4 linked regions of the Drosophila melanogaster genome follow. The main gene of each other region encodes a partner of the protein of the gene in region 4 in a complex. Each region holds a gene or a part of one and is shown on either strand. Other genes may lie near its edges. The genes, in order: FAM21, Strump, wash and CCDC53.

Region 1 (9,823 bases), on a different chromosome or scaffold from region 4:
ATCATCAACTGCTTCGCGCTGATCTGTGTGATTCCCACGGGCATCAGGTGGCGACGGGAGACTCAGGTGTTGAGTCAGCTGCAAGGATTGGCCACCAGACTTTCCCTGCAGACTCCAGCGCCCAGTGTGCCCATTACAAAGGCAGATTCCCGGCGATCCAGCCAGCGGCTAAGTGGATTCGAGAATGCCGGCTACCAGCTGTGCGATGAAACAGCTTCCAAGTTGCCACTAGGGCCAGGAATGGGACTGGGCATGAACAACCAGTGTGGAGGCAGTCAAGCATTTGGCTCGCAGAACGAATTCAACGCCAGCATGTTTGCACCCGCATTGGCACAGCAGTTCAACAATGCCACGTTGATGCAGCGCGGCGGAACAGGCGGAGCAGGTGGTGGTCATCGCGCCCAGTCGCTGATGGATCTGCGCTGCACTCTGCCCGGCATGTACAATCCACGACATGTGCTCGATACGGAGGATAAAAACGCCAAGTACTTCAACATCACCATCGACGATTTGAAGAACAATCTCCACGACTCGCACCGACCATCGCCGCCTTCGCTGATCGGTTCCACCAGCAACGATCCCATCTACTGCTCCATTGAGCCCAAGCAGTTGACACCGCCACCGGCACAGCAGAGGAGCCACCATCGTCCACGCGGCACACACAAGCAGCCACCACCGGGTAAACTGTCCCGGAATTGCGTATCCCTGGAGAACCTTGACGGGATCAGCAAGGTGCAGAATGATCTGACCGCCTACGGGAACAATCTACTCCAGAACTACACGCAGCAGCAGCAGTATTACCTGGCCATGCTGCTTCACCAGCAGCAGCAGCAACAGCTGCACCACCAGCAGGCTGGCGGCATTTACCGCAGGCCATCCAATTGCAGCTCCACTGGCGGATTCGCCGGCACCGTGCTGGCCCAGCCGATGCAGCGACGCGGCTCCACGCACAGCCAGCAGATGCAGTATTACGGGGGCTTTGGCTATGCCAACTACACCAATCCGTACATCACGGCCAACAGCAAGTTGTCGCTGGGCAACGAGTCCGACGATTACCGGAAGTACCGCGATGTGGCTCTTTGAGTCCGTTTTTTTGGTTCTGGAAACCGGATCCCAATCGATCATCAGTCAGCGTTTAGGTTAAGCTCACTAGTTGTAGGATATGCTCGATCTAGAATGAGATTCCTCGGAATAACGACCAAAGAGCCACAAACTAACTCAGTTTCAGTTCGTAGACTAACGTTACACTGCGAGAATCGTATAGCGCGTTTATGCGCCAGTCAATTTGTAGCTTAAATGGGTCTGCATTCAGTTTTATTTGCTTTACTGAATAACACGACCTATTTGCAAATAAAAGTGTACTAAATATGAGACTCCATGGGGATATAATTTTATATGCAAATAAAAGTAATCGTAATAGTAAATATCACGAAATATCAGACGTACTCAAAAATATAAATAGATATTTCTAAAACAAACAAATATCAAAAAGCATACCCCCCCAATAAGAGAGGCACTGTATGAAAATTGCCCAAGTCTAGTTCTAAGAATCGAACACAAATGAACATTGACATTCATTGTTTATTATAGTTAATAGGAATACGAATAACAATACTCTGATCGACAGTCTAACCATCCACAGATCAAAAAGTGTACATACTTGTAATAAAAGGCGTAACTGTTTTCTCACTTGAAATCAAGAAGATCGGCCAATGGATTATCACCGGAGTTTGATGGAATGGTAGCAGTGGGCGTGGTGGTTTTACTGGCAGGTGGTTTACTTGCTGTCCTGGCCGCGGGTTTGGTCTTTTTGGCAGCAGCTGCTTTGGACGTGGAGCTTCCTCCGAACAGGTCATCATCGTCGTCGTCGTCGCTAAAGAGACTTTTGCTTGGTTTCACTGGCAACTTCTTAGCAGGAGCACTCTTTACAGGCACTTCGGCTTCCTCATCATCGCTGCTGAAAAGAGAAGTCGCCGCTGGTTTGGGGGGCTGTTTAGCTTGGACGGGCTTGCTGGCGGTTTGGATACTAGGAGCTCTGGCAAACAGATCATCATCATCGTCGTCGCTATCATCAAACAGTTTCGGCGCAGCCTGTGACTTGGGTTTAGCAGCCTCCTTGGCATTCGATGGTTTCGGAGGAGCAGTTGTGACTTTTTGAAAAGCATTCATGATTTCTGCTGCAAATGCTTTTTGCGCGGTAGTAGTTGCATTTGTTTTTACAGAATCAAATAGGAAATCATCTTCATCTGGGCTGGCCAAAAATGAGTTTGCCATCTTTGGCGGCTTCTTTTCTACTGGAACTACATTGATACCCGCCTTGTTATTTTCAAGATCACTGAAAAGCTTATCATCTGCATCAGGGCTGTCCAAAAACGAGCGATATGACTTCGGCGGATCAGTACCCTGCTTTCCCTCAACTGTTTTTGTCGGGACGGAATTAAAAAAGGAATCATCCTCATCGGGGCTGTCCAGAAATGAGCCACCAGTGTTAGATGGCGGCGGTCTTTGGAGCTGCGGCTGAATTTGCTGGGCTGGGGTTGAAAACAGCTTTTCAGGTTTAACATACTGAGGAGAGGGTGCCTTAATGGAACTTCGCTCAGAGTGTTCAACTTCTGGGCTATCTCTAGTCGAAGCTGTTGGGCCTTCATTTTGCCCAGCATCCAATAAGCTTTTGGCATAGTTTTCCTTTCTTCCTCTTCTGGTAGATGGTCGCCTTTTGGCAGGTCCACGAGCGCGAGATTTGTTCACATGCTGCAGGACACCGTCTGCAGAAGAAACAGTGTTTTGTCCAGAACTTGGTGCCTCAGCCTCAGTCTGAACTGTCGCTTGAGGTTCATCTCTCTCGGAACTCGATGATTCTTGTTTCCTGATCAGCTTTGGCACGCTACCAGAACCCGGAAGAAGGGCATGTACATTGATGTTAATATTAGGCATTTTCAGCTTCTTAACGGGCGAAGTGGGTTTCTGCAATTCAGGCGTCTCCTTAACTTCACTACGATCAGTTTCATCAGCTGGCGGTGGCTCGTCATCGAAAGGGAAGCGTTTGGGCGCTGGCTGCACTGCTCCTGCCCTTGCAGTCTCACTGAAATCATCGTAGAAGATTGTGTGTATTCGGGTGGTTGACGCTAGTTCGTCCTTCTGAGGTTCAGCTTCCTTCTGCACTTCTTCGCCTGCATGATCGTTATCTTCGGGTGGCACATCACTAAACAAGCACATGGCACCGTAGTCAGACGACACAGAAGGTTGATCCCCCGGCGTCACTGGAGATGGCTTTGTCGCACTGGGAATGTTTGGCAGAGCGGGTTCGAAGAAGTCGTGCTCGTTGTCAAAGATTTTGGAGGCACTTAGGCTGCTGAGACCGCTGCTGCCAAGCGTTTGAAAGAATTCACTGTCATCCGGCGGTTCGTCGGAAAAGAGATTCGAGTAATTTTGCATGATTTGCTGCGCAGCAGCCAAATCCGCCGGCTTTCGCGGGGTAAGTGTATCCACTGATGTTTTATTGGTGACATCAGCCACCATTGATATAATGGGATCTACGTTGCTTTGATAATCGTCTGGTGGTGGAGTTTCCGAAACGGGTTCATCTATTTGAGGCTTACTTAACATTTCGGGCACCAGTTCATCCTTTTCAACGACAGCTGTTATTTCATATATTTTGTTCTCTGGCAGTTGCTGTGGCAATTCTTCTGCTTTAATCTCTTTCACCAGCTGCACCTCAGATGGTTTTTTAATATCTTCGTTTTCTGTACCAACTAATGGCTCATTCTTGGACATAGATGCACTCAAAAATGTATCATCATCGCTAAAATCTTCGTTAAACAAATCAGTTGGTTTGATAGATAGTTTTGTAGGAGGATTCACTGGGGATACATTTTCCTCAGTTTGCGAAGTATATTTTTCAATTGGTTTGTTAAATTCATTAGTTTCATTAGCACTTTTTGGCTCAGCCATATTATTTGAAGTACTAGAGAATAGCTCATCGTCGGTTAAGTCTTCACTGAACAAATCTTTAGATTTGGTAATATTTGCTGCTGATGTATCATCCTTAACCGCCTCCCATTCTTTATCATCAGACTTTTGTTCCGTAACTTCCATGGGAGGAGGTGAATCTCTGAGAATAGGCACAGATGCATTTTCTGCTATTACTTGATGCTGCTTTTCTCCAGTTTCTATATTCTTGGATTTCTGTTCTGCAATCTCACTTTGTTTCTTATCTTCTCCAACTGCTTCAGGATCATTATCTGGTTCACTTCTAATTAAGTTCTTAGCCTTTGGGGTTCCAAACAAATCCTCATCTTCAATATCATCAAAGAGACTTTTCTTTGAAGCTACAGGTGTTTCAACATTTTTGTTGGGCGAAACTCCCGAAGACGTCTCCTTTGGAATTACCTTTGCCTTTTTCGAACCAAACAAATCAGTGACATCATCTTGATCATCGTCTTCAAACAAACTTGTCTTTCCAGCTACTCTTTCAGATAGCTTTTTCGGTTGAGCAGATGGTTTCGTAAATATATCATCGATATCCAAATCATCATCATCAAATAAGGAGGGCTTTGGTTTTGAGAGCAGTTTTTGTTCTGGTGGCTTTGCTTTGGGCGTAAAGGAGCTCAAGAAGTCGTCGTCCTCCAAGTCATCATCGAATAGAGATTTGGTTACCGGTTTAGGTGGCTTTTTGGAAGGATTTTCCTTTGGCATGGCAGGAGAACTACCAAAAAGCGAGTTATCTTCATCATTATTGGCCACTACAACTGGACTCCGTTTTGGTATTGCACCCGTTGCTTTAGTATTATTAAAAACAGGCTCTGACCTCGGAGTTGGACTCAATGGAGGACTGTCGTCGAAGAGGTTTACACGTTTTGGAACTGTCTGCTCAACAATCTGCTTTGGCGGCCCTGGCTTTGGATATTCTTCCACGGGTTTTTTAGTTTTGGGTGGTTCTTTTGTTGAAATTGTCGTTGCTGGGGAGACGGAGCTGCTGGGTGTTTTTGACTGGACTTTGTCCACGATTTCGGACATGAAGGATTTAAACTCATCTTCGTTAAAAAGATTAACTGGCATGCGCTTTGTTTGGCTTGGCTTGATCTCAGCCTCCTTCGGAGTTTGGGTTGAAACAGCTTCGTCGAAGAGTCGAGGAGGTTGTTGGGCAGGACTACTGCTACTGGAACTAAGCGATGCAGTAGATACGATTGGAAGGCGACTTGATGGATTCCTAAAGGCTGGTGAAGATGTAGGCGATGACGATGTGGATGGCGGGTCGTCGCTAGGCGGCGATTGCCGGAGGGCAGCAAACATGTCCCTCTCATGTGGATTCCTTTGACTGTTTATAATTGGACGCGGTTGTGTTCTGATGACAGGCTCTGCTACCTGAACAGCAGGGTTAATGACTGGCGACACGATTGCCGGTTCCCTGGCAAACGAGGCTAGGGAAGAGGAGTCAGACAGATGCTGTTCTTCTAATTTGTTCGCTGGCGTTGCTATTTTTTTGGTCTCGGGTTCCTTTTCGTCCGATGAGCTTGAGGAGAATTCCTCGGATCTGTCATCTTCACTATTCTCCTTACTGTCATACAACCCGGCATACTTGTGTTCCTGCCACTCTTTGGTACCAATAATATAGGGCAAAGGTATCGCATCATAGGGATTCTTAGCACGGAATACGGTTCTGTGGAAAGTGGAGTTAGTATGGATCGGAATCGTAGTGTAGTCACTTACGTTGAGTGGACGGGGCCATCCTCATCATCCGAATCGGGCACTTCTATGGTCACCGGCTCGTAGTTTTTGCGGAACATACGAAGGTTGTTTTCCAGAAACTCCTTTGCCAATTCCTCGGAACTCTTGAGCGGCAGCTCTGGCTGCAAGCATATTAAGATCTGTAAACACAGCAGCCTGCAAAATTCCATCGCTTATTGCACCTTCTTTTTCTTCTCTTCGGGCATGGCCAAATCTGCGTCATCCACTTCCTCCACCCGATACTCCACGAACTGATTTCCAAACTGCAGGGATCGCAGGCTGGTAGTGGCATTGTTCAGCGCTATATCCACTTGCTTCACGCTCGTCTCAAAGTCTCGCAGATTGCGGCTGGTCCTTTCGCCCCTTTCTTCCAGATTCTGTTGCAAAAATTTTATCAAATTGGCTTGTTATCTATGCACGTATGTGAATTTAACCTGGGAAATGCGCTTCATCAGCGCCAGCAGAGCACAGTCGCCCGCGAAGGTCCAGTCCGGAGCCTGGGCTATTATCTGATCCACATCCGCGCTTATATCCATTATCAGTCGACTGCAAGCTCGCAAGTCAGAAAATAATAACAACTAATTAAGAGCAACAACAACAAACTTAGTAATGACACCCAAATAGAGATGAGCGATAGTTAATCACCTGTTATCAGCGCACAGCCAACGCTCATCCCTAAGCCTGCTGAGCAGCTGTTTCGACAATCGCTATCGATATATCTTGTTTAAACTTGCTATCGATATTTGATAGCACGTGTTGGGTTGTTCGCAATTTACGAATTGTATCTTTGTTAGTTATCCGCAATTTACATTTAAAACGAAGTAGATTATAAATAATTATAGACTAAAATGGCTATGCTGGCTGAACCACGTCGGCGCAAAAAGTACAACTTGTGTCCGCGCGGCAAGGCTCTCTATGAAGGTGAGCATTAAACTCCAAATGTGACTGGTAAATCGTAAATTCTTAAACTTTAACAGATGAAAATCGCTTCGGTACCAAAATGCTGGAGAAAATGGGCTGGACGAAAGGCAGTGGCCTGGGCGCCAATCTGAATGGCGAAAAGGATTTTGTGCGCATTCGCTTTAAAAATGACGCAGAAGGATTGGGTTTCGAGCAGCGCGATGATCAGTGGACTGTACACGAGGATGGCTTCAATGGGCTGCTTAAGTCGCTAAATGGGGAAGATAGCGGCGGCATAGACAAAGAGCCGGAGTCCGAAGAGGAGGCCAGACCTATGGGCTTTGGCTTCAAAGCCATTGAACCGGAGGAGCCGTCTAAGAAGAAACTCAAGGAGAACACCAGTGGAATGTCGCTGGAGGAGCGGTCGAAGCAGAGCAGGGCACGCGTCCACTATAAGAAGTTCACACGCGGCAAGGACTTGGCTCTGTACAGCGAAAAGGATCTAGCCAATATATTCGGCAAGAAGGCAACTGAGGACGTCGAGAGATATCCAGAACCCGTGCTGGCTGTCCAACCCGAGGAGCCAAACCCCAACTTCGCTGGCGTGCAGACAATTGTCACGGGCCTGTCGACCACTGATTATTTCAAGCAGAAAATGGAAGCCATGAAAAACAGACTAAAGAAAGGCTCCCAAGTTGAAGACAACAACGAGGCACAGACCAATGGTCATGCTGAAAAGTTTGAACAGATTTCAGCAGATAATGATGAAGTGACTTCCAAGAAAAAGAAAAAAAAGAAAGACAAGGAGAGGGCAGACGAGCCACCAACTAAAGAGGAAGAACCAGAGCAGGTTGCTTCCATGCCTAAGAAAAAGAAGAAATCAAAGCGATCATCCCTTGATGAAGAAAAATTAGTTGAAAGCGAAGAAAGGACTGACGAGCAACCCACTGCTGTGGAAGAAATCGAGCAGGACGCTCCCAAGCTTAAGAAAAAGAAGAAATCGAAGGGATCGTCTCTCGATGAAATTGAGCAGTCGGAGAACAACTTTGTTGAGGAAAAATTAGTTAAAAGCAAAGAAAGGACTAGCGAGCAACCAACTGCTGTGGAAGAAATCGAGCAGGACGTTCCCAAACTTAAGAAAAAGAAGAAATCTAAGCGATCGTCTGTCGATGAAACCGAGAAGACGGACAACAACTGCGTAGAGATGGCGGAAATCACTGAGGAAAGTGAAAGGACTTCCTCCAAAAAGAAAAAGTCCAAAAAAGAGGAGGAATCAGCAGAAGTGTCGATACAAACAGAAGAGAGTGACCAAAAAAAGAAAAGAAAGTCAGATAAAAATAAGGAGATTGCAGAAGATTCGATAGAAGAACCAGCTGCGAAAAAAAAGAAAAAGTCTAAGAAATCCGACGAAGTAATTGTAATCGATGATGACGACTTACACAGAAATAATGAATCGCATACTTCGAATGAAAATAGAACTAAAAATAAAAGTAAATCTAAGGACAGTCAAGAAACCACTCAAATTCAGGAAGAAATTACCATAGATTTAACAGCCGAAGCTCCGTCTAAGAAGAAAAAGAAATCCAAGGAAGAGAAGCGTAAGGACAATGATGAAAAAGATTTAGAAGAAACACCTCCCGCCTCGGAAGCTACTGAAAAGAAATCGAAGAAGAAATCCAAATTAAAATCGTCTGCGGAGCCCTCGACTAAACTGGAGATCACCTCATTTGCGCTCGCCGTGGAGGCGGCTGTCGATAATCGAAAGGACACAGGAGGCGAAGATAGGAACGACGTAAGTGCTGACAAGAATAATTCCGGCAATAAAAGCGTTCAGTCAGCCGATGAAGACCTGCCTAAGGACCTCTTATCCCTGGAAGAGATCCAAGAAAAACTCAAATCATTCAATCATTTTAATATCTCTAAATTCTGTGCAGACCAATTTCAATTGTTCGACATGAGTGCGTTTCACAATTCGTCGCTGGGCGAGATCGTGGGCTACGGAATCAGCGAAAACGTCGAGCTAAATGTGGTGGACTGTCCTTACGATGAAACGCGCATTCGCAACCTTTGGAAAAACAAAGCCGTTGAGCATTTTAAAAGCAAACAGCATAGCAAGTATCCGGTAAGGGTGCAAAGAACTAGCATACGAGCGGTCAAGAAGAGAGTCGCCTTTCAAGGAATTTAGATCGAGCAAACGAAATATATTTCAACGTGATTCTTATTATGATTGTTTTTGTACATAAACAACTTAAGTAGGTAGTTGGTAAGCTTCATGGTTTACATTTTAATGTACTGTTTTGTATAACACGCTAACTAATTAAACTGAACTATACATTTCAAGTGAGTGACATATTCTTCAGTCTTATTTAATAGAACCAATTATCCCAGCCGGCCCGACTGTGGTGAATATTCTCGTGCGTCGCTTAGGCAAGCCACTATGAATGAATGTAACGAAATGTAATATCAAAGGGGACCTTACTAGCTTATACTCTAAACCTTACAACTAGTCCGGTGTAACATTTCGATTCGCCAAACGTCGTGATCTTCTCAGGGGCTTTTTGTCATGATCCGAGCTATGTGATCGCTTTACCGGACGATTGGCGTTGCTGCGGCTGAAGTTGTTCAGGTGAACATGGGTGTCCCACTGCGTAGGCAGTTGAGTGTGCATTATTATTCAGAGGAATATTACTCATATTTCGATGCTTACCGAGCCAGACACGATTTCTGAGCGATCCGGATGCCAGTCCAGATCTCTTATCACAGTCCTATGTCCTTCAATAGCCTCTTGAATCTTACCAGTAAGTACATCATAAACTGTAAGAAAATTGGATTATTTTGAAAACATAATATGTTTATCAACGGAAACACAGAAATGGCCTTTGGTTTCACAACCAAATTTTTGATGGATAGAGAATTTCTAAAAATACTTGGCGAACTTACTGGCTAGAAAATGTATTTTAGATAGCCTTGTGAAAGAAAATCAGAGAAATACTGCAAGATAAAGGTGTGAACTCACTTATAATACGTCCGGTGGCACAGCCTGTGTAAATGTAGCGTTGCCCTGTCTGCTCCATGGGTGAGAACTTCGCCCGCAACAGGGTTTTGGTAACTCGGTGACCGCGGTAGGTCATTATGCTGGAGTCTCCTTCCAGTGGCTTATGCGGATTGTAAACTGCCGACAAGATAGGTGGGCGTT
Region 2 (9,162 bases), on a different chromosome or scaffold from region 4:
GATAAGAAGCATCTTTACACAATCAACGGGTGGCGGCTGTTCGTTGACAGAGGTCCCTGGGGTCGAATAATAACTATGGATTCAATCGGTTAACAGAGAGTTCGTTACTCGGGCAACCAAATTTGAATCGGGTAAAATTGATTTAGGGACTCGTGCAATCGCTAATCAGACTAACCTTTAATAAAATTGTATGGTGTAATTACTTAAGCGAATTTGATATACAAATTTGCTTTTAATATCTATCTTATACTAACAAAAGACCATCTGTCAAGCTAACATTATTATTTCGCATTATAGAAGCAATATTGCAAAATCTCTATTATCTTAATAATATGAAATATTTAAATCTAAGCTTTTGTTGTACTTACTCAAACAGTTTATTCACATTAAAGGTGGCCTCTTTGGAATATAAAATTGTTTTAGATGCCTAGGCACACCCAACTAAAAAATATACACGATTTAAAAATGCTTTTTTAAACCTTATAGGCGGCATTGTTTTGACTGCATCCCACAATCCCGGTGGTCCAGAGAATGATTTCGGCATCAAGTTCAACTGCGAGAACGGAGGACCTGCCCCGGATGCGTTCACCAACCACATCTACAAGATCACCACCGAGATCAAGGAGTACAAGCTGGTGCGCAACCTGCAGATCGACATCTCAAAGGTTGGTGTAACCTCGTTCGACATCGCCGGAAAGCCCTTTACCGTGGAGGTGATCGATTCGGTGGCCAACTATGTGCGCCACATGGAGGAAATCTTCGACTTCGCCAAGCTGAAGGACTTCGTAAGTGGCAAAGCCACTGGAAAGCCTCTGAAGATGCGCATCGATGCAATGAACGGAGTAACTGGCTCATATGTGCGCGAGATCTTCCTGAACCGGTTGGGTGCCACCGAATCATCGGTGGTCCACACCACTCCACTGCCCGACTTTGGTGGTCTGCATCCTGACCCAAATCTCACATACGCCAAGGACCTGGTTGACACTGTCGCCCAGGGAGACTATGACATTGGAGCTGCCTTCGATGGAGATGGTGACCGCAACATGATCATTGGCAGCAAGGCGTTCTTCGTAACTCCCAGCGACTCGCTGGCGGTAATTGCCCACTACCTGGAGGCCATACCGTACTTCCAAAAGAATGGTGTTCAAGGATTCGCCCGCAGTATGCCAACTGCATCCGCTGTGGATTTGGTGGGCAGAAAGTTGGGCAAGGAAGTGTTTGAGGTTCCCACTGGATGGAAGTACTTCGGTAATCTCATGGACGCCGGAAGGTTGTGTCTGTGCGGAGAGGAGAGCTTCGGAACTGGCTCCAATCACATCCGCGAAAAGGATGGCATCTGGGCGGTTCTCGCTTGGATCTCCGTGATGCAGCACACGGGTAAAGGCATCGAAGACATCCTGAAGCAGCACTGGTCTGTGTATGGACGCAACTATTTCACCCGCTACGATTATGAGGAGTGCGCTTCCGATCCTTGCAACGAGATGGTGGCCACCATGGAGAAGACCATAACTGCTCCGGAGTTCGTCGGCAAGAGCTATTCCAGCGGCGGAAAAACCTACAAGGTCAAGGAGGCCGACAACTTCAGCTACACAGATCCTGTCGACAAGTCGGTGGCCACGAAACAGGGTCTGCGCATTGTGTTCGAGGATGGCAGCCGCATTGTGGTGCGCCTCAGTGGAACTGGAAGCTCGGGAGCAACCGTTCGGTGAGTCACGATGAGATTTAATATCAAACAATTCTTTTCAATAATAGATGAATTGTTCCTTTTCAGCTTGTACATTGATTCCTATGAGAAGGAGAATGTTTTGGGCCAGGCCAGCGTGATGCTGAAACCCTTGATCGACATCGCCCTGGAGATCTCTCAGCTGCCCAAGTTCACTGGACGCAACGCTCCAACGGTTATCACGTAAAGAGTTCCTGTCAGCGAAGGAACACTGAGATTACCAACCCATCCAACTACAATCTCCTCTTGTACCTCAGCGAGGCATTTCCTTGTTATGTTTCGGATTTATTAAAGTTTGTGTAGCCCAAACCTGTTGGTTAGTTTTCATTTTAGCAGTGTGGATAAATACTCGTACTCGCTAAGTATTATGTTGGGAATGCGCTGCTCCAGAACTCCGAGTGGCAAACGAGCAATGCGTATAAAGGCTAGAAGAAAGTGCAGGGCGGTGACCACCTCGGGACCCAGGATTTCTTTATCCCTAATAAAGAAAAGTGTATGTCATCTGATATTCGTGGATTATCTTGTAACTAAAGTACTTACAGTAACTGAGCCTCCGATACAGTCACCACGTACTGACTCATGTAGGATATATACAGCATCTTGACATTCTTGTGGAACTGCTGCAAGATCGTTACTAGACCCACAATAAAAGGCACATTATCAATGTTATCTTTGGCTGATTTTGGCAACAGACAATCGGTAATCGTGGAATGCTGCATACGACCCAAATGGGCAATGGTGAAAAGAAACATAAAGAGGGCCATGTTATGGGTGTTCTTTGTGATAAGGAAGACTTGCTCTAGGGGCTCAAAGTTTCCCGTATAGAGCAGGGTTTCCTGCAGTTCTGTCAACATGACCACACCCTTTTCATCACAGAGATCCTTGCTGAGAGACAGTTCTAGTAAAAGGGCTCTGTTTGCGGAAGAGATTGCAAATATATAAATATTTTTAGGATGTTATAGTTTGACTTACTTGTTCAGGGTGTCCGCCGTGTTCTCCAGCAACTTGGCATCACATTTACTGCTAAAGCTTAGCTCTCCTGCAATTTCTCTGCGGAGCAGCTGCTTCTGTCCAATGCACAAAACCCAATCCAACAGCGTGGGCCACACTTTCAGCCATCGTTGGGTGTAAGCTTGATAATACTTCAAAGGCTGCTTGGACACCTCCGGAGTTGGGAAGTCCCGGGCCTCCAATTCCCGAGTCAGTGCCGCTAACGTATCCACCCACATACGATCCGAGGTCAGGTTACGCTGTAACCGTTCCAAGTTGCGCTTTAACTCATCAGCCAACATGTGAGCGTAGAGGCGCTCCAATCCCACCATTCCTGCCGGAGCCAAGGCTTCTCTAAGTATCTCAAAGAATCCAGAGCCGGCAAGAACTTCCTGGTGAGGAGCCTTCTTCTCATACCAAGTGCTTTTTAGATCCAGAAAAATAGTTTGCTTGGGATCTGTGCACCGCAGAATTTCGTGGGCCAGACGGCCAATGAAGTTGTTAGACGGATCTCCCAACAGCGGTGGAAAGTTGGGAATGGGTATGATCTGGCTCTGGTGCTCCGATTGAAATTCCTGCACTTTGTTGCGGAGGAAGGCATTGCATTCCTTCTCCACATTGTAGTTAATAATGCGTTGCGATTCCTCCAGCAGGATTCGAAGTCCCTGAACTCTTAAGTAGTCCTCTATATATTCGAAGGATCTTCGATATCCCTCTATTGTTTTCGCCAGAGCTTGCAGTTTTTGTTGAAGAAGCTGCACAGGAGTCTTGCCTTTCTCGGGCGTAAATATTAGGCCCAGATTGTAGGCATTTGCCAGATGATTTACAAGCTCCTTGCGTATCCCATCCTCCAATAGTTGTTTAGGATCCAGCTCGATTACTCCCACTAGAGTTGTTTTCATCATAAGAATTCCCTTCGTAAAAACAGCAATGGAGTTTGTAAGCTGAGCCACCTTGGCCCGCTCCTCAAACTGGGCATAGTCCTTTAGACGCTCCTTCTCCACTTTAGTGGGAAACTCCTTGATAACATTCGTAAGGAGATAGATGATCTTAGCCAGAATACTGAACATGGTCTCTGGAACAATTTGCAGAACGCGGCGCAGGAAGTTTGCTAGCTCGGTGCTGTAATAGTTTGACACAGAGACCAGATCCTCGCTTCTGGCCTGATTGATCCGCATCAGCGGCACCTCCAGGGTGCTGGCCAACTTGAGAAAGACCGCTCGTATACCTATTACCGCCTGTGGCTGTCTTTTGATGTGTTCCTGCATGGGAGGAGTGAAGTCAAACTGCAGTAGATGCCAAGCATAGCTGAAGTCAGTGATCATCTGGATGTGAATCTCAATGTCTTCCTTCAGGTTTATTAGCTGTGCCATTTGATTGAGCATGTCTCGCGTCTCCTGTAGTTGCTGCTTCACCAGCATGTTGGAATGAAGGTTGTGATACTCCTGCACATCGTCCAGTGCTTGCATCACCTGAATAATCAGCCTTCCGGACTTTTGGGGCCTGCTCAATTCCAGTTTCTGGAGACGTCCAGCAACTTCGCCAAACCATTGCTGCAACTGAGGATTCTGTTCAATCTTGGACAAAGGCCTGGAGCCGGCAAAGGCTTCGCTCAACTCATTGAGCCTTTGCATGGCCTCCTCTCTGCTTTTCGTCCAGCGCTCCTCCTTAGTCTGCTGAATCTCTGCCAGGAACTCCCTCACGCTCAGCTCCATTTGGCTGCAGTTAAGCAGTAAGTTATACAGCGTATTCCGATTGAATTGTAGTTCGTGGAGCACACATTTTTGCACTTGACCCGTCAAAGTAGCTGTGTGAGCAAAGATGAAAACTTCCCTTGAGGTGTGCAGGCAAAACCAGCGGAGCAGGACATTGGATTGCCTCATCAGGTGTATGATTTTGTTGGCGTGCTCCAAAACAAAGTTGTCATTTAGAACTCCTTCACGAACAATCTCCTGGGTTTTTTGAGTGATCTTGCCCAATTGCTCCTTTTGCTGCTGACAGAGTGCTTTGATTGCCGGTGGACTTATCACATTTTCAATAGCAGATCGAGCGGCTTTGAAATCCAACCAGGCATCCACCAGATTCACTGTCATGCCCATGTACACGGATATGGTCCAGTTGTCGCAAAAGAACTTGTCCACAATTTCGCGCATCTGTGAGCCTTGGGAATGAAGAACTTGCGGGCAGAAATACAAGCACACATACAGCATGGCCGCCTGAGTAGACAGAGCCGTGGAGCGATGGGCAGGATGTGGATACAGGTTCAGTTGGTTGTATATATCATCGCACCGCAGACGAGCCACCACTAGATCCACGAAATTCTCATCGAAACGGAAGCGAGAGAAGTAGGCCTCCGGGTATCGGGGAACCACAAGGCTAGCAGCTCTAGCGCCTGCCTGTTTGCCACCCAAACCGAGCACTTTAGCGGCAATCGACGGATGAACATAGCCCGTAGATCGGAGCAGGAGACAAACATCATGGATATTACTCTCGTCTCCGCTAGGCGTTGCATCTCCTCCACTATACCGATAGTAGGCGATCAGCAGACGTTCTCTCACATCCCCCGGAATGTGAAAATCGACCATGAGGAGAATCACACCAAAGAGATACAGGGATTCGCAGAGCAGTTGGCGGCCCTCCTCCTCCTGAAGTACCGTCTCCAGCGTCTGCTGGATATAGTAGCCAGTGTTCAATTCCTCGATATATTGCTGGAGATCGGAGGCATAGTGATGGATGCTCTGGAAGGCCAGGTAAAATCGTGTGATTAGCGGAAGCTGGGCACGTGCCTCATCATCGAGTTCGGTCAGTTCCTGAAGGAAATCAGGGTGTTTAATACGGTGTGGTCTCGGGTATATTAACATCAAATTACCGGACTTTGTTCGATCCTCCTCTCGTGATCTTCGGCTATCTTGAAGTAGCTGAAATCCAGAATAAGCTCGCCATATTTCGCCTTATCAGCTTTGTTGTCCAATCTGGGGAGGAGTGGTCACCAATTATTCATTAATTGCAGGTTTTTAATCTATGTTACCTATAAATACTGGGCACGTAGTCCTTGAGGCGCAGGATCTCTGCTATTATAGAATTACCCACCGACACTATATTCAGCAGATTCTGCCCACAGGCATTATTGTCATCCAGAAAACTCATTATGCATTTCCTTGATTTCTGTGATTCTAACAAATGCCTCTCTGGAGAAAGCTTAATTTGTATAATCACATTATTAATTAAAGCTGTACATACTTTTTATCAGTCCACGAATTATGTTATTGTTTGTTTATATTGTCTATTCATTTAGTCATATCAATTCTTTTTTGCACTAGTGTATTATCTGCAGTAATCTTACATAAGTCCGGTCACACTATTTTGTTGTTATAGAGTTACCATGAACTTCGAAATGTTGGCGCATAAATTTGAAGTGAGAAACTGATGATAACAACCTATGAGGTACATAATTTAATAACAATTATTAAATTTATTAAAATGAGATATGAAACTACTATTGTATTGAATAATAAAATTATAATATTGGCTTAATAACTCTATTCGATGCATTAAAGTGCAATAATGATGGAAGATCTAATGGTTTCCGACTTTAGATTCACGATTTCAATTTTAAAATTTAAAAAAGAAAGCAAGTTGTAATACGACATTAAGAAAATTGCCAATTCGTTATGTGTTTCTGGTTGAATCCAAACGTGAATTTGGTTCTATTTATTTTGTGTTAGATTTTCATTCTATGGGAGCTACACAAAGTTTCAGTAGGATTAATTAACATAATAAATGAATATAAAAATATTAATAAAATTAATTAATTCAACTACATAAATTGTAATGATTTAACTAGCTAATTAACTGAGATACCGTTACATATTCCATACGACATAAAATAATAATATGCATAAGCAAACACTGCGCACTAAAATAAATTCTGCATATTCCCAGCTAATAATTCTCCGTGCTCAGTTGAAGTTTTCTCAATTTTTTCTTTTATTTTTTTGCTTAATGTTAAAACATAATAATAATAATATATATATATTCAGTTATATGCCTACCAAACTATGCGCTGTTTACGGTTGCATCTGCATTTTGTTTATCATATTAATTTTTACACACAAAGAATTTGCTTAGAATGGTTTCACTTTTTGCTTAGGTTTACTGAATTACATCAATTGTTGTCAATTTATTTGTTATAATTTTTTTACGGGACTCTATTTTACAAGATTTATCGAGCTAATTGTATAAAATTTGTCTATTTTGTGTGTAGTTCAGATTGGATTAGGGGATTTATGGATCTATGGAGCCTAATGAATCGCCATTCTTAATGGATGAACGAGCGCCACTAATAAAAACATATTTTTTCGGTGTGCCAAGTTGTCTGCGCTCGCATCGCTCCTTGCCATCGATAATTTGTTAATTACGTTTGCGTTTTTACCTAGTTATCTATTAGAAAAACCGTAGCCTAGAATGTATTTACAATTTGTTGGGTTTGTTGTGGTCTTGCCTAACGATTGATTTCCGTTTATACATTATGGGTAATTAAAAATTACATCTTTTTTAAACAACTAAACCTAATTCAATGGATGTTTAAATGGATATTTTTCGGTTCTTTTTTTGATGTGTTCTTTTGTTTTGCTGTTGCTGAACTTGTTTCGATCTAGTTGGTTTTAAAAACCTTTATCTGTAATTCGGTTTCGATTTCTCTTCACGCGCCCTTGCTTTTTACTTAAAATCTAGGAATTATGGTTCGTTTTCGTTTAACAAACTAAGCTAAATAATTAAATATTAATAATTATGTTTATATCGTTTAGATAAGGCCGTCAATGCAGTTGATGCAAACATTATTATGTTACAAATTACAAATCAAACGCCCGCTGACTGCGCGCTCTCTTTTACCTTCTTTTACTTTCCTCTCTATTATTTTATTCTCTTCGTTTACTCTGGTTTTGTTTTGTTTTTGGATTGGTTTGGTTTAAGTTTTACAGAGAATTTATTGGAAAAATAAACGAGCTTTAAATTAGGCTTAAAATCAAATACGATTAGAATTTAGGATTTATGTAAATAAATGTAAAAATAGAAATTAAATAGAGCCGCCTAACTAAAAAGAAACAACAACAGGGGACACGCGACGCATTTAAAGTTGAGGCTAAAATATATTGCAAGTGGATGAAATCGTAAAGCTGTATAAAACAACAACACGACAGTCCACGGAGTAGGAGGATCGGCGAGGAGAAGACGGTGCGATTGATGGGCAACAGCAGCGATCACTTGAGGTATGTCTTGAACAGCATGGAACTGCGACAGAACTCCCGCTCTTGCTCCATGTAGAAGAGCATGTCGCGCAGGTTCACACGTTTTATGCGAGGCCGTAACGTCGTCGGCGCAGATCCCGAGCTGCTTAGCACTCCGCCGCCACTTGAACCCTTTTTGGATAAACACAGCTTAATTAATAACCGTTCTGGTAGTCAACTATCCTAAATTTTAGACACTATCTTTTTGTATAATTGCACCATACATACCGCTCCCGAACTGACTGTTTCGCCGTCTAGCTTCAGCTTTTTCCGAGGTCCAATCGCCTGCAGCGCCGTCAGATTGGCATCTCGTTGACGCAACTCCTCCATTTCGGCGCGTTGCATCTCCTTGGCCTAAACAACAAGAGAAAGACTTAAGTAAACGGCTACAGAGAAAGACGATTGCGAACACACCCTCGCCTTCATCTTGGCCTGCTCGGGATCTTCCACCCTCGACCGTGACTTGGCTGCCCGCAGCAGCATCTCACGCTCCAGTTCCTCGTGTCGCTTCTGCTCGGCCTTGTCCAGCTCCTCGAGAAACTTGATCTGACCGCGCACATCCTTGGCGGGCTCATAGCGTGGATCCAACTGTAAGAAATAGGAAATCAATATTTTCATTTGAATATAAAACCATTTCCAACAAACCTTGATGACATCAATGCGGTGCTCCGCTATCACAGCCAACTTCTCAACGATGTTCTTCAGGCGCTCCTGACAGGCGTGCGATATCAGAACGGCCACATCCTGCGACGGCTCATCCAGTCCCGCCTCCGAAGTAATTGCCCGTATTCTAGCTTGCAGCGAGGGGAGATTGAGAAATACCTCATCTTTGCAGGATCGAATCTGCGTGCCGATGTTTTCGGTACAGCCGAGAATTCGCTGCGACTCCTCCGCCAAGTTAACACCTCCCATGGCGGCAACATCGTTGATATCATCGTCACCGTACATCGAGGACATGGAGCTCTGCTGGAAAAACGAGTTCGCAGCGGACGCCGCTCCTCCGCTCGATGTGTTCAATTTGGCGTCCATTTCCATGGCGTCGCGTTTCTTTTTGCCTATCGCCTTGTTGATCGCAGGCGGCGGCCTTGCCATCGTCTTGGCTCCAATCGGTGTGAGAGATGCGTTGATCCGCTCCATGTGCGGCGGATGCAGCGACGGCGC
Region 3 (6,818 bases), on a different chromosome or scaffold from region 4:
CTACATACACCCACACCTTACTTCTAAGTCTACAAACGTAATGAAATAAAGCTAACTTTATTTTGTAAGCCCGGCCTACCTGCAATTTGCGATTCCTATTCAATGCGTTCTCGGTGTTTGCCGCGTTCGCATCGATGCCGAGCACGCGGTGACCATACTGGAGCGCCAAGCGCGAGGATAAATACCCTTTGCCATCGCCCGCGTCTACAATGAAGCAATCTTGACCGGAGTTCTTCACAAGCTGGTCCACGAGAACGGCTGTTAGATCCACCTAATCGGAGAGATTAATCAATTCCTAAAATACTCTCATTTAAAATGGTTGGTTTACTTACCTCATGGCACTTTTTGGCGCTCATAAACTCCCGAATGCTTAGCTGCGTGGAGTTCCCCTGACCCTCTGAAGCGACAGGCGTTCTTGTTTGCTCTTGCCTAGGAATTCTCGCCATGCCGGAAACCTTTCTGATTCATCAGTTTTCCAAAATAGGTCTTCTATGGCCAGAGCCACATCTTCCTTGCCGGCGATCTCACTTTTCAGCGTTTCGGATAAAAAGCCGTCCCAGTGCTGGTCCGTCAAGTAGTTCACCATGTGGCAATTGACAAAATCCCAGTGCGGATTGAGGAAGGCCAGTAAGCCATCCAGACGCCTCTGCAACTGCACAACTCCCACCTTGGACATGGTGCTATAAGGCTAGAAGCTGTAGTCCTTGTGCTCGACAGAATTGGTCTCTGCAGGCGCTGCACCAGGCGTTTTTTTGGATCCCAGCTGGGCGCGAAGGCGACGATGGGAGGAGCGAATGTCCTGCACAGCACCCACTATGTCCGCCTGCGGATCGTTGGTGCGGGGAAACTCCTCGATGAGCGAACGCAACTGTTCCAAGCTGCGACGCACCTTGTCCGTGTGTTTCAGCTGCTGCTGGGCCACCACCTGGCCCAGAATCTTGCCGAGCTCCTCGCCTAGGGATACTCCCTGGGCGTAGCCCAATTTATAGCCCTCTTCGTTGCCCTGCTCCTGGCCGTCCTTCAGTCCCTCCTCGTAGCCCAAACGTGCCTCCTTCTCCTCGGTCAGGACAATATCGTCAAAAAGATCGTTTATATCCCGCGACGGACTTGTCATTATATGTGGTTTCACCGGATTGCTTGTAAAAGCTCTCCTCTAGTGTAGTAGTCCTTGTCCTTGTCCCTGATTGTAACTCCAGATATTTGGCAGCTTCTCTAACTTTAATATTTAAATTCGGTGGATATTTCAATTTGTTTTTACCCGAAATGTGATTCCACTGCGGCATTTTACAGCACTGGCAGAGAGCAACACAACAGCGCTGTTAAGGATTTAACAGGGAAATTCGTTTATTTCAAATAGGAAAATAGCTGTTATCTAAAACTAGAATTTAGTGTTTTATTATAATTTAATATCGAGTTTATTTTAGTCAGTATAAAGAATTGTTTTATTTCATTTAGCATCACAAAATGTTTCATTGTCCTGTAATTTTATCAATTAAAGTTAGCCAATGTTCTCAATAAGAAATTACACACATTTCTGCTAATATGTAGTTTTATTCAACTGGTTGACTTTGACCTAATTTGGCATGCTCGCTTGGGCACAGAATTTGGAATTCGTTTTAGAAATTTGTATGCTTTAAGCTAGAGAACCTAGGTTGCTAGTGCTTTAAGCCAGCCAAGGCACTTAAACCGGTACTAAAGCTAAATATTCACTAGTTCCACCCATCCTCGTCGTCCTCGGAGTGTTCGTCACTCGACTTAGATCCCTTGCGGGGCTGCACCGGCGGCGGTATGACGCGGGAGAGCTGCTGCATCAGGGGATTGCCAGCAGTGGCCTCCACGGGATTCTGGCTCCCAGAAATTCCCTTGCGTCGCAGCATTAGCTTGTTATGCAGGTCTGCCATCAAATCCCCCGTGACAGCGCCTCCCGCCTTGGAGCGACTGTTGTCCACCACGTCGAGCGGCGCAGCCGCAGGCGACCGCAGACGACCGCCATGCACTCCACCGGCGTTTCTTATGGCGGCCATAAGCTCAGATCGCGGATCTTCAGTAGCTGGAGGCGGCTGCGGCATGTTAAGAGGTGTTGCTAACGACGGGGAGAGCGGTTTCACAGCTCCTTTGGTGGGAAAGGGTGGCGGTGATGGAATTGCGCTCGTCTGCGCTGGTGGAGGAGGTGGAGGCGGCGGTGGTGGCGGAGGAGGAGGCGGTGGTGCCGCCGTAACTGGCGAAGGACATTGTCCCACACTCTTCCTACGCACCGGTCCCGGAATGTGCGTCTGTGCCGCGATGGCTTGCACTATTATATCCTGCTCCTCGAGGCCCAAATCCGGCAGCTCTGGTAAATCACCGAACTGCTGGGAAGGCGCTATTGGTGTTTGCTCCTCCACTGGCTCATATTGCAGATCATTCGCTATGCCCGGTAGGTCGGGCAGGTCCAGCGGAACATCAATGGCGGGTGCAGCCAAAGCAGCAGGATTGTAGCGCAGGTCCCCAGCTGGAGTGGCCAGTTTGGTGGTGCCGTGGGCCAGCGAATGAGGTGCCGGAGCGAGCTGCTTTTCTCCCGTGAGTTGAGTGGACTGACTGGCAACGCGTCGAGCATTTTGCGGCGGTAGGGATCGCTTCCAGGCATTCAGATCCTCGCCGTAGGCGAACTCATTGGTATTGAATCGCATGAGCGAGGGTACGGAGCGCACTCCACCCGCAGGCAGGATGCCCAGGCCAGCGGTCCGATTGGTTATCTTCCGTTCGGCGACCAGTGGCGATTCCTGCTCCCGATCGCCACGTACATGGAAAAAGATGTCCGCATCATCCGGCTTCTGGTCCGCGGCACTGTGACTGCTGTACGTCCCTTGCGGGAGCTGGTCCACTTGCTGCTCCATTAGGGGATTGGCTGCCACCTGTGGAAAGGTGGCTGGCAGCGGTGCCAGGACGTCGCTGGCCGGAAAGCGGGCGGGTGCAAAGATCTGGATGGCCCGCTTGGAGCCAACGAGCGCATCGATTTTTGCCTGAGCGCGCTTCACACGATTGTTTATGTCCTCAACCTTTGAACCATTTCTCGCCAAGCGGGCATCGATTCGCTCGAAAATCGAGTTTATGGTTTTGTGTAGACAGTCCAGGGACTGGGCTGCTTGGATTATGGTATCCTCGTGGTGCAGGTCGGTGGCTATAATGGCCACCTGGTAGGGGCTGTGCAGGTAAGGTGACTCCTCCATTTTTCTATCGCCAAATAATTACATATTTATTTGCAATTTTACTGCTGTTCATGGTAGTGTGACCAACTCTAAAAGCTTTACAAGATGTTAAAAATGATTTGGTTCAAAGTAATAATTAAATGGATTTCTTTTAAAATTACGAAACCTCAGATTAACTAACCCCTAGCTAAACGAAACACCAGTCAACTGAACCCTCAGTTACACTAACTCCCACGTAAATTATCATTCAGGTAAACTAGACCCCAGATAAGCTAACCAGATAAACAAACCACCAGGAAACAAACTAACCTTCAGATAAACTAACCCTCAGATAAACTGCGGTGTCTCCCAAAACTATTACTGTTAATAAAGCAGTTAAGGACACGGATCGGCTGTAGTACTTCTACTAGAGAAGGCGGCATTTTTAAATACCTTTCAAACTCATCCCACTGTTAGGAGAACTTTTTTAATCAGGGGATCATTTATTCAGGATCATTACTAAATTAGGCAAATGTAAGCCTATAAGCACGCCATTCCGGAGCACGGAATTTGGAATTCACTTCCAAATGACGAAAAAATAAATAAATAGAAAACGTCCATATGTTCAAAAATCCACCGTTCCTCCATCGACGCTAGGGTAGGGTAGTGTGCCCAAATCAATTGTTAAAAACTGTTCATTAAATGATTTGCTTCAAAGTAATAATTGAATGGGTTCAATTTAAAGAAAAACTCAAAATAAATTAAAATAATTCAAATACACTTATATTTCAACCAAAAAAAAAATTTATTAACAACTAAAGGAAAGGCGTTAATTTTTAGTATGTTTTGAGCTGAGGAACTTGGTAACACTGCAAGAAGCGACACGGCAGCAAAATAAATATCAATTCAGTTCATTGGTAATTCTTAGTTAAATACTCACAAATCAAAAATGGACAAGGTTGTCAAATTCGCCGAACCCGGACGCGCCTTCGCCAAGGACTCAATCCGCCTGGTGAAGCGCTGCACAAAACCCGACCGCAAGGAGTTCCAGAAAATCGCCATCGCCACCGCCGTGGGCTTCGCCATCATGGGCTTCATCGGCTTCTTCGTCAAGCTGATTCACATTCCCATTAACAACATCATCGTGGGATCCTAGAAAGCGGCAGGTGGCCCCCGGACCGGAAAGAGATTACATGTAGTTCACGATTCCACGCGCATCTTTAGCGAAATAAATGCCCCTTCTTCGGATTTTATACACACAATACAATGTAATATCTTTGGCTTGGGTTTGAGATAAGAAAGTCTGGTTATAAATTGGGTGCTTGGAGGGTGTGCTCAAAATGTTGTAAATATATTTCCGAATGCAACTAAGCCAAAATTCAACAAAATCTTAGCTTATCATTCAGCAACAAAATGGCATGTATTGTACTATTTCATTCATCTAGGTCGAGTTGCTTATTTTGAATCGTTCTTCCAATTGACAATGTTTATATTTTGTTATTTTAACATAGAGATGATTTAACATTAAATTCTACATTGTACAATGGCATGTATTTGGGTTCGCCTAATATTGCTTTAAAATTAGAAGATTTTAATTCTGTTATAAAAATCTTTCTTTAACCTTAAAAATAATTTTATATGTGTTGTATGCCTTTTTAAAATTACTGTTTTAGCCATCGTTTTGTTCTGCGACACAATTGCTTTTTCTTAAAAATTCCTAAACAAAGAAGCAACAATTTTTTTACAAAATATAAGCTAAATTTTATAAATTGATGGTCACACTTTTCCTTTTAAGTCGGGGATCGGTTATCGAATAAATTTTAAAACATGGCAGCGCCCACTAAGTTATTTGATTTTAAACGCGAATTTCTTACAACCTGCTACACGCCGAGTGTGTATTAGAGCACATAAGACGAGGGGATATCCAGCCCTGGAATTTTGAACTGCCACGACGAGTTATTCGAGCTCGGATATCTTGCTGTTCACGAAGCCCATCTATCTATATGGAATTGGTAAGTACCACCATTTGCGACTTGGGCTACGGTTAAAGCTCACACGTCGCCTTTTTAAGTTATTAATACATTAATGAAATATACATAGTATACTTACTTATTTTCCCAAGCAAATTTAGCAATCCGTGCATATATTTATGTCTTTCACTGTAGTTCGTTCGACCACTTTAAACTGTGGTCACACTAAAGTACCTGAATTGTGCAATAGCGGTCGCTATCTGGTCTTTTTGTCCAGATTTTTAAATAAAACTGCCAAAATGAGTGCTCCTCGAGTGGGTGGCGTATTAGCTTTGGGTGCCACCGCCCTGGGCGCCTTTTATCTGGGCACCCACGTGGAACGCGAACGCCAGCACAATGGCTCCACAAGTGGCCTTCCGCGGCTGCCTGGTCTGCCCACCTTTGGAACTGTTTCGGCTGCCAGTTTGATTCCCGCCCAAGAGAACAATGTAAGCTTGACGGCAACTCCGTCTCGGATCGGACAGATCATGAAGTATGGATTTCCCGGACTCGATCACGTGCGCTCCCATTCGGACTACGTGCTGTCTTACGATCGGAGGAACCGGGTGCCCCACTGGGTGTTCGAGCACCTTACGGCAGAGTCGGTGGCGAAGAACGATGCCGTGGACAGATCGAAGTGCGATTTCAAGCAGGACGAGAGCATCCATCCGTTCTTCAGGTCACAGAACACGGACTACCGACGATCGGGCTATGATCGCGGGCACATGGCCGCCGCTGGAAATCACCGACTGCACCAGAAGCACTGCGACGAAACCTTCTACCTATCGAACATGGCGCCACAGGTGGGCCAGGGCTTCAACCGGGATGCCTGGAACACGCTGGAGGCACACGTGCGCAGACTGACCAAGACCTACTCCAATGTGTACGTCTGTACGGGTCCACTGTACCTACCGCACAAGGAGGACGATGGGAAATCGTATGTCAAGTACGAGGTCATCGGCGCCAACACCGTGGCTGTTCCCACCCACTTCTACAAGGTTATTGTGGGCGAGTCCGCGGACCACAAACTCCACATGGAGTCGTACGTGATGCCCAATCAGGTGATCAGCAACGACACTCCCATCAGTGTGTTTCAGGTGCCGCCAGAGAGCGTGGAACGCTCGGCGGGATTGCTCTTCTTCGATCAAATCAATCGCAAGCAGCTAACCACCATCAATGGCAAGAAAGTCTAGTCGATGTCTTAGTTTCGTTTTAGTGTATTTGAACAGGGATAGCCCCTTGTTTAATGTAATTTTCTTCTTTTCCAAAGAACTTGTGGATTAATAAAATTAAACAATTAATACAGATGTACATAGAGATGAGGCTTGACGCGGGTGTTGTTCGTGAAGAGATAGCGAAGCGTGGGGATGTGAATCTGAAACTAGATCTGATGTATGATGCTGCTGCTGGGCGGTCGTTACATGCCGCCTTCGTTCTTGGAGCGCACGTCGTCGATCTTGAGTATCATCTTGACGAGCTGCGTGGAGAGCAGAATCTGCTGCTTCTTCGAGTGCAGCGACTCCACCACGTTATGGCTCTTCATGTCCGAATCACCCGACAGCATGCAGTCGACACCCAGGCTGGACTTCTTCTCGGCCACCTGTCTGGCCTTCAGCTCCGACAACGTCTCGATGGGATGCAG
Region 4 (5,813 bases):
GGCCTACAACAGTGCCCACTGCATCGTGTACGATACGGAGACGGGCAAGCAGGTGGTGCGTCTGGAGGCGGCGCAGGAGATGTCTGGCAACACGGGGAAGTTCATTAACAAGGTGGTGTCACACCCAACGCTACCCATTACGATAACCGCGCACGAGGATCGTCACATCCGCTTCTGGGACAACACATCCGGCACGCTGGTACACTCCATGGTGGCGCATTTAGAGCCGGTCACCTCGCTGGCCGTCGATGCTCATGGCCTGTATTTGCTATCCGGCTCGCACGACTGCTCGATACGGCTGTGGAACCTGGACAATAAGACGTGCGTGCAGGAGATCACAGCGCATCGCAAGAAGTTTGACGAGAGCATATTCGATGTGGCCTTCCATGCCACAAAGCCGTACATTGCTAGTGCCGGGGCCGATGGCCTCGCCAAGGTCTTTGTCTAAAAGAGGCGAGACGAGACGAGACGAGACAGACAGACCCACATCTCCCTGGCCGCGTCGGATCGAACGAATTCAGAATTCGGAATCCAGAGTGCATATGCAGAGTGCAGAGTGCAGAATCCACAGCCAGTAACTCACAGCTAAGCGATTGCGAGTTCGAGTTAAATAATTATACATACATTATAAATATACTATACATATAAATCTAATTATACTTCAACCGAGAACAACAACCAATTATATGCATACAATAATAAGAAAGGGAAAAGAGAACACAACATAAACATACAAATAATTGCTAAAAAAAAAAAAAAAAAAACACACAAACAAAACAAAAAAAATTAAATAAATTCAAAATGAGAAACGGCATTTCGAGCAGAGCAAACAGAGTCAAGTAAATGTAACAGACGAGAGTCGCGTAATCTAGTAACGTAATTCTAAAGCAATGCATAATAATACGGCAAATAACCACAAATAAGTGCAACCCACGGACATTATGTATTTGTTCAAAATAACAACGTAGCAATGAAAAAGTTTGATCTTGTCGTGGATCTTTATTTTGCCCACCAGTTGGCGGGATCAACCCAAGATCGATCCTCTTTTCGGTTCTAGTTTTAATAGCACTTGCACAGCGATTGTTCTTAACCAAGTCGGCCTATATAAATCAGTCAGACTTCCTGTACATTTTATATACATACACAAACCACACATATATATATATTGAAACTTATTCTATGCCCATGGCAAATCTTGAATGTGGAGCATCTGACATAGGCACTCTCGCTGTGCAAGTGCCAGGATACACACGTATCCTTCGCTGCTGGCGAAGGAAAGTGTATTGAAACATTTACGTAACGATTAAAACGATGTAGACGATCAAATTCTGTAGACTAAGCAAGGGCATATACATACATATAACCAAACAATATAACCCGACCCCATATTAGCGAAAGAGCGAGAAAAAATTGTAAATTAACATTAATTAGAGGACAGTCGAGGTGAGACTTTGATGAACGGCGGCCGGGTTTATATACGCAGGTAGCAAGTCAAAACACACACACACACGCGAAAATTGTATTTAACAATTGGTACATGCAGAATGCTTATATAATTTCAATTGTCATTACCAAGGGGAGTACGCAATGCTTGATGGATTAACCACGACCATGTGAGGATGAGATATAAATAATAACTGCAGGCAAGCTATAAACGTATGCTAAGCTATTTATTTAATTTATGCCTAGTATTAACGAATGAAAGAAAGTTACAAACAAACAAAACAAACAAAATGTTGGCGCCAATCGCTGATCCAATGGATTTCGTAGTTGAATATAAATAGATTCGCTTACCATGGATGCGTACTCGTAATTTTAATCAAGTAAATTAATAACACGATGAATGAACAGATTTAGATATGTGACTTGAACGTGAACGCCGAGCAACTCAATATTAGTTTTTAGTATTACCAATTATTATTATATTATTATTACAAATTACATTTACGTGAGCCTTTCACCGACCGACACTCTCCACAAACCTTAAAAACACCCAAAAACTTGATATTCGAAACCGACGAATCAGAATCAAAAACGATTGCGATCTGTGTACACCAAGCAAATCCTCTATTATTTAAATTACGTATTTTAATTTACGCCTTAGTTGTTACAATCGAGAATCCGAATCGCCTTTTGGATTACCGCGGTGATCCGAAACTCTGATGAGCCGATGATGAATGATAATGGTAATAATTAAAATAGTTGTGGACGACCATCGGGGGCAGCCACTCACATATACATATATATATATATATATGTATATATATATACATAAAACTATTGATTTCTAATTTTAACTGTAAATTCTTGATTTTTTATTACCGTGTATTTTTATTTTAAATAAAGTTTTACAAAAAGAAGCCCTGTGACTTGCGTCTGCCTTTTGATTTCTCACAATTCTCACAAACAGCGCACAAACTATTCAGATTCAGTGATGAGAACGTTGTAGACCAGCTGGTTCTCGTTTGCAACGGTGGCAAAAGTTAATAACTTTCACTTGGCATTTTCATTTTCGAACCGTTCTCGCTGCTGGCAGCATTTTTGATTTCTTAACTCAGTTTTGCGAACTACACCGCACAGAATTGAAAGCATTTTCGTTTCTACAAACCATTACAAATCCACTGCCGACAAACACAAGCTGCACGCATGCGTTTTGTTTCAACAAAGACCGAGAATTCGGATCAGCAATGAAATTCTCAAAAAAAAAAAAATTGCTAACAAAAAGTAATGTAATTCTCCAAACAAATACAAATACAAATAATAAATAAAACGCGGATCCGATTTGGCATTCCAACTAATACTTAAGCCGCAGAAAGCGACGCCGAGATGGGCACGATAAGCATTATTTAACTAAGTCAAAATAAAAGTTCATTGTAGATTTGAGCATAGTGAGAAGGTCCCAGGTCCTAATGGAACACCCAGCACATAAGTTTATACATACATATATAAATAATAATGTCAAAGGAAATGCATATTAACTGAACGATACTTTTATAATAAATTGACGAAGAAGTGCATAATACTCGGAGAAATAACATTCACACATTTCATGTTAAGATACAATAAAGTGAATAAATAAAATATTTAAAACAAAATGGTGGATTTGTTGTTGAATGGGTTTCTAAGCTATAACTATGTATTTATGTATATTATTCGTTTTTTTTCACTTTAAAAATGAAATTTCAAAACATTTAAATATGCACACAAGTTTTTTGAAAGAAACTTCAGTTCTATTTCATTTTTAAACTAGGCGCCAAGTTAACTGTGTTAAGTTACGTGAGAAATACCAAATTTTTGGATCAGCTTGATGTTGAGCGAACAATATTTAGTATCGTCAGTCAGCCTGGCAACCCAGAAAAGTACTAAAATAAAAGACGGCTGGTGAAAATAAAATAATGGATGCAACTGCAGCAATCACCGGCAATGTGGACAAGACCCAGGTATGGGACTTATATTCAAGGGTGAACTGCACCTGCAGCTCTCAACTCTGTTCCTCCAGATACCGCCGCTGAACCAGAAACGCATCCTGGCCTTCGTTAACCATTTCCTCGTCAGCACCTGCACCTTTCTAAATGAATTTGCCCTGGGCTGTGAGACGAAGTTCGTGGAGATGGAACGGCAGCTGCAGAAGACGGAGGCCGCCCTCATCATCCTGGAGGCCAAGCTGGCGTCTATACCCACCGAGCACCATGTAGCGACTGAGGCTACCGAAGCGCCAGCGATATCAAACCAGCAACGCAACGAAGAAGCATCCATGGTGGACACCACGGAACCACCGACCACCGAGAATCCTACGGAGCCGGAACTCCCGCCTGAATCGGTTGGTGTGCGCGCCTGTGAAGATCAACGTTACAGAAAGTTCTTCAAAATGGTGCAAGTGGGTGTGCCCGCACCGGCGGTTAAGCAGAAAATGCAATCCGAAGGTCTGGAGCCGCGTATTTTAGAGTAAGTTCCGTGGAGAGGTTTGGCCAAATTGAAAGCTCATCAAGCTCATTTCCATTGCAGCACACCCGATCTGATCCTGGCGGATGGCCAGCGAGAGTGAGCTGCCTGGCGCAGAGCGTGATCTGATCTTGTGATATAGCACATGTTGCTACACCTTGCAATTAAACATTTTTTAAAGCTTACGTCTACAAGTTTATTTTGTTTTATTTGCCGCCGTGCAGCGACGCGAAAACAACATAAAACCACTTCGTTAGCGAAAAAAGGATTTTTAATGGTGTAAAGAAGGTGCCTAGAACTGGATCATCTGTCCCTTGCGCTTCTTGTCACCGCCCAGCTCGAAGTGCTTGCAACGCTTCAGGGGAGTCTGCTTGCGGTATTTGCACTCGGTGCACTCCATACGCAGCACAATCTTCTTGGTGGTCTTGGCCTAAAATGGAATTAGAACTCCAGTTAGCAAGCGGCATACAAATGGTGGTCATGAATTCATTTGGATTGTCTGAAGTTGCCGGTGGGGCGTTGTGGGCATGGATGCCACACAACGTTGCCTTCACGGCCGCACCAGTGCAACAACAGTTTTGATCTGGCACAGTTTTTTCCCACCAAAAAGCATAATGCTCAACGAGCGCAGCGATTTAGTTCTACGAAGCGCCATTCCAGGGATTCCAATCTAGCCGCCATTAGTGTCGATGGCAATCCGGCGGCAAGCGATCCCGGTAGCATTAGACGAATGGGGGCACTTACCTTCTTCCTGAAGATGGGCTTGGTCTGACCTCCGAAACCCTGCTGTTTCCTGTCGTAACGACGCCTGCCCTGAGCTCCCTTGCGCTCCTTGGACTTCTTGTACTGCGTCACCTTGTGCAGCTTGTGGACCTTGCACTTCTTGCAGAAGGTGCGGCGTTGTTTCGGTACGTTCACCTGGAAAACACACAAATCCCATTAGTACAAAATTCCTTGGGCAGCGACACCGAATTTTTAAGCCGAACAGCAACGCACTTGTTGGCCGTCGCGATCCGCGATAGACCACTCCTTGGGTCAATCATTTCGGTATTCCCGCTCTTTTGGCGGAATCACTTAATTTCGGGCATAACAATTGCGGATGTTCAACGATTTCGGGAAACGCTTACCATCTTGATTTCGTGAAGGCGAAAAAAGAAGGAAATCACATAGCGATGGCAGCGTGCCGTCAAGCCATGCGCTATCGATAGGTTTTCGTTTCATTGTTGTGACTTGATATGCATATCGATGTTTGTATAGTTCTTAAGCACTGTTTAAACTATTTTCTACTTTTTGAAGTAAAATCAATTGTTTTTACATTTGTTTTGAATGTGCATATATTGAAACTTAGTACAGAAGAATACTATTATTATTAGTTAATGAAGTTTGTAAACGCCTTATCAATTAGGTATACCATGTTTGTTTGTTTTATGTATTTTTAGTGTCACGAAACTTTATCTGCGAACCTACGTATAATACATTTTTGCCCCACATTAATTATTTTCAAGTAATTTTTAATGTTCATGGAACTGAATGCTTGGTTTTTTCATCGATCTCCACAGAAATATGCTAATAAAATGACAAAATAATATATTTCATATATAATATTTCGATATCTTAACGGTCACTTGATGCTGAGCGCTGCCAGATCAATCAGATTTTAAGAAAATACCAAAAAGTGAAAGTGGCATTGCCATCGAGGGCGAAACATATGTTTTGTTTTGCTCGCGACTTGCAGCGATAGGCGGCGACAAGCAACGTCGTTATCGAAGACCGATAGGGCCCGATACAAAAAAAAAATAAATCGAAATATTTTCAACAATTTTCTGTGGAAAATAATTGGAAATATAGCGAATCTCCAGCAGCCGAAACCG

Evidence for each region.
Region 1: CCDC53 (region 4) and FAM21 share a complex: the UniProt entries of both Drosophila melanogaster proteins name them as parts of the WASH complex.
Region 2: CCDC53 (region 4) and Strump share a complex: the UniProt entries of both Drosophila melanogaster proteins name them as parts of the WASH complex.
Region 3: CCDC53 (region 4) and wash share a complex: the UniProt entries of both Drosophila melanogaster proteins name them as parts of the WASH complex.

What each region holds. Positions count from the first base shown.
Region 1 is NT_033778.4:20,620,056-20,629,878, reverse strand, and holds FAM21 (family with sequence similarity 21), read right to left. Parts: upstream 6,333-9,823; 5' UTR 6,264-6,332; coding exon 6,162-6,263; intron 6,105-6,161; coding exon 5,910-6,104; intron 5,850-5,909; coding exon 5,710-5,849; intron 5,660-5,709; coding exon 1,687-5,659; 3' UTR 1,564-1,686; downstream 1-1,563. Other genes in the region: Rcd6 (reduction in Cnn dots 6), read left to right, coding at 1-1,083; CG11180 (uncharacterized protein), read left to right, coding at 6,576-6,648, 6,705-8,812; CG9945 (uncharacterized protein), read right to left, coding at 9,131-9,271, 9,335-9,441, 9,644-9,799. UniProt on the Drosophila melanogaster protein: Acts at least in part as component of the WASH complex which may regulate wash nucleation-promoting factor (NPF) activity and is required for its membrane targeting during endosomal sorting.
Region 2 is NT_037436.4:16,118,885-16,128,046, reverse strand, and holds Strump (strumpellin), read right to left. Parts: upstream 6,046-9,162; 5' UTR 5,954-6,045; exon of another isoform or gene 5,902-5,953; 5' UTR 5,861-5,901; coding exon 5,742-5,860; intron 5,686-5,741; coding exon 5,583-5,685; intron 5,524-5,582; coding exon 2,696-5,523; intron 2,636-2,695; coding exon 2,264-2,635; intron 2,202-2,263; coding exon 2,048-2,201; 3' UTR 1,995-2,047; downstream 1-1,994. Other genes in the region: Pgm1 (phosphoglucose mutase 1), read left to right, coding at 487-1,705, 1,772-1,910; Taf4 (TBP-associated factor 4), read right to left, coding at 7,975-8,133, 8,230-8,355, 8,416-8,589, 8,647-9,162. UniProt on the Drosophila melanogaster protein: Acts at least in part as component of the WASH complex which may regulate wash nucleation-promoting factor (NPF) activity and is required for its membrane targeting during endosomal sorting.
Region 3 is NT_033778.4:12,177,092-12,183,909, reverse strand, and holds wash (washout), read right to left. Parts: upstream 3,418-6,818; 5' UTR 3,370-3,417; intron 3,288-3,369; exon of another isoform or gene 3,285-3,287; 5' UTR 3,210-3,284; coding exon 1,710-3,209; 3' UTR 1,537-1,709; downstream 1-1,536. Other genes in the region: CG13175 (uncharacterized protein), read right to left, coding at 689-1,114; CG8860 (uncharacterized protein), read left to right, coding at 4,117-4,323; EndoG (endonuclease G), read left to right, coding at 5,437-6,369; CCT5 (chaperonin containing TCP1 subunit 5), read right to left, coding at 6,594-6,818. UniProt on the Drosophila melanogaster protein: Acts as a nucleation-promoting factor by activating the Arp2/3 complex to induce actin polymerization. Participates in both linear- and branched-actin networks.
Region 4 is NT_033779.5:8,037,754-8,043,566, forward strand, and holds CCDC53 (Coiled-coil domain containing 53), read left to right. Parts: upstream 1-3,352; 5' UTR 3,353-3,395; coding exon 3,396-3,440; intron 3,441-3,499; coding exon 3,500-3,945; intron 3,946-4,005; coding exon 4,006-4,045; 3' UTR 4,046-4,126; downstream 4,127-5,813. Other genes in the region: Cka (connector of kinase to AP-1), read left to right, coding at 1-448; RpL36A (ribosomal protein L36A), read right to left, coding at 4,235-4,372, 4,687-4,860, 5,070-5,072. UniProt on the Drosophila melanogaster protein: Acts at least in part as component of the WASH complex which may regulate wash nucleation-promoting factor (NPF) activity and is required for its membrane targeting during endosomal sorting.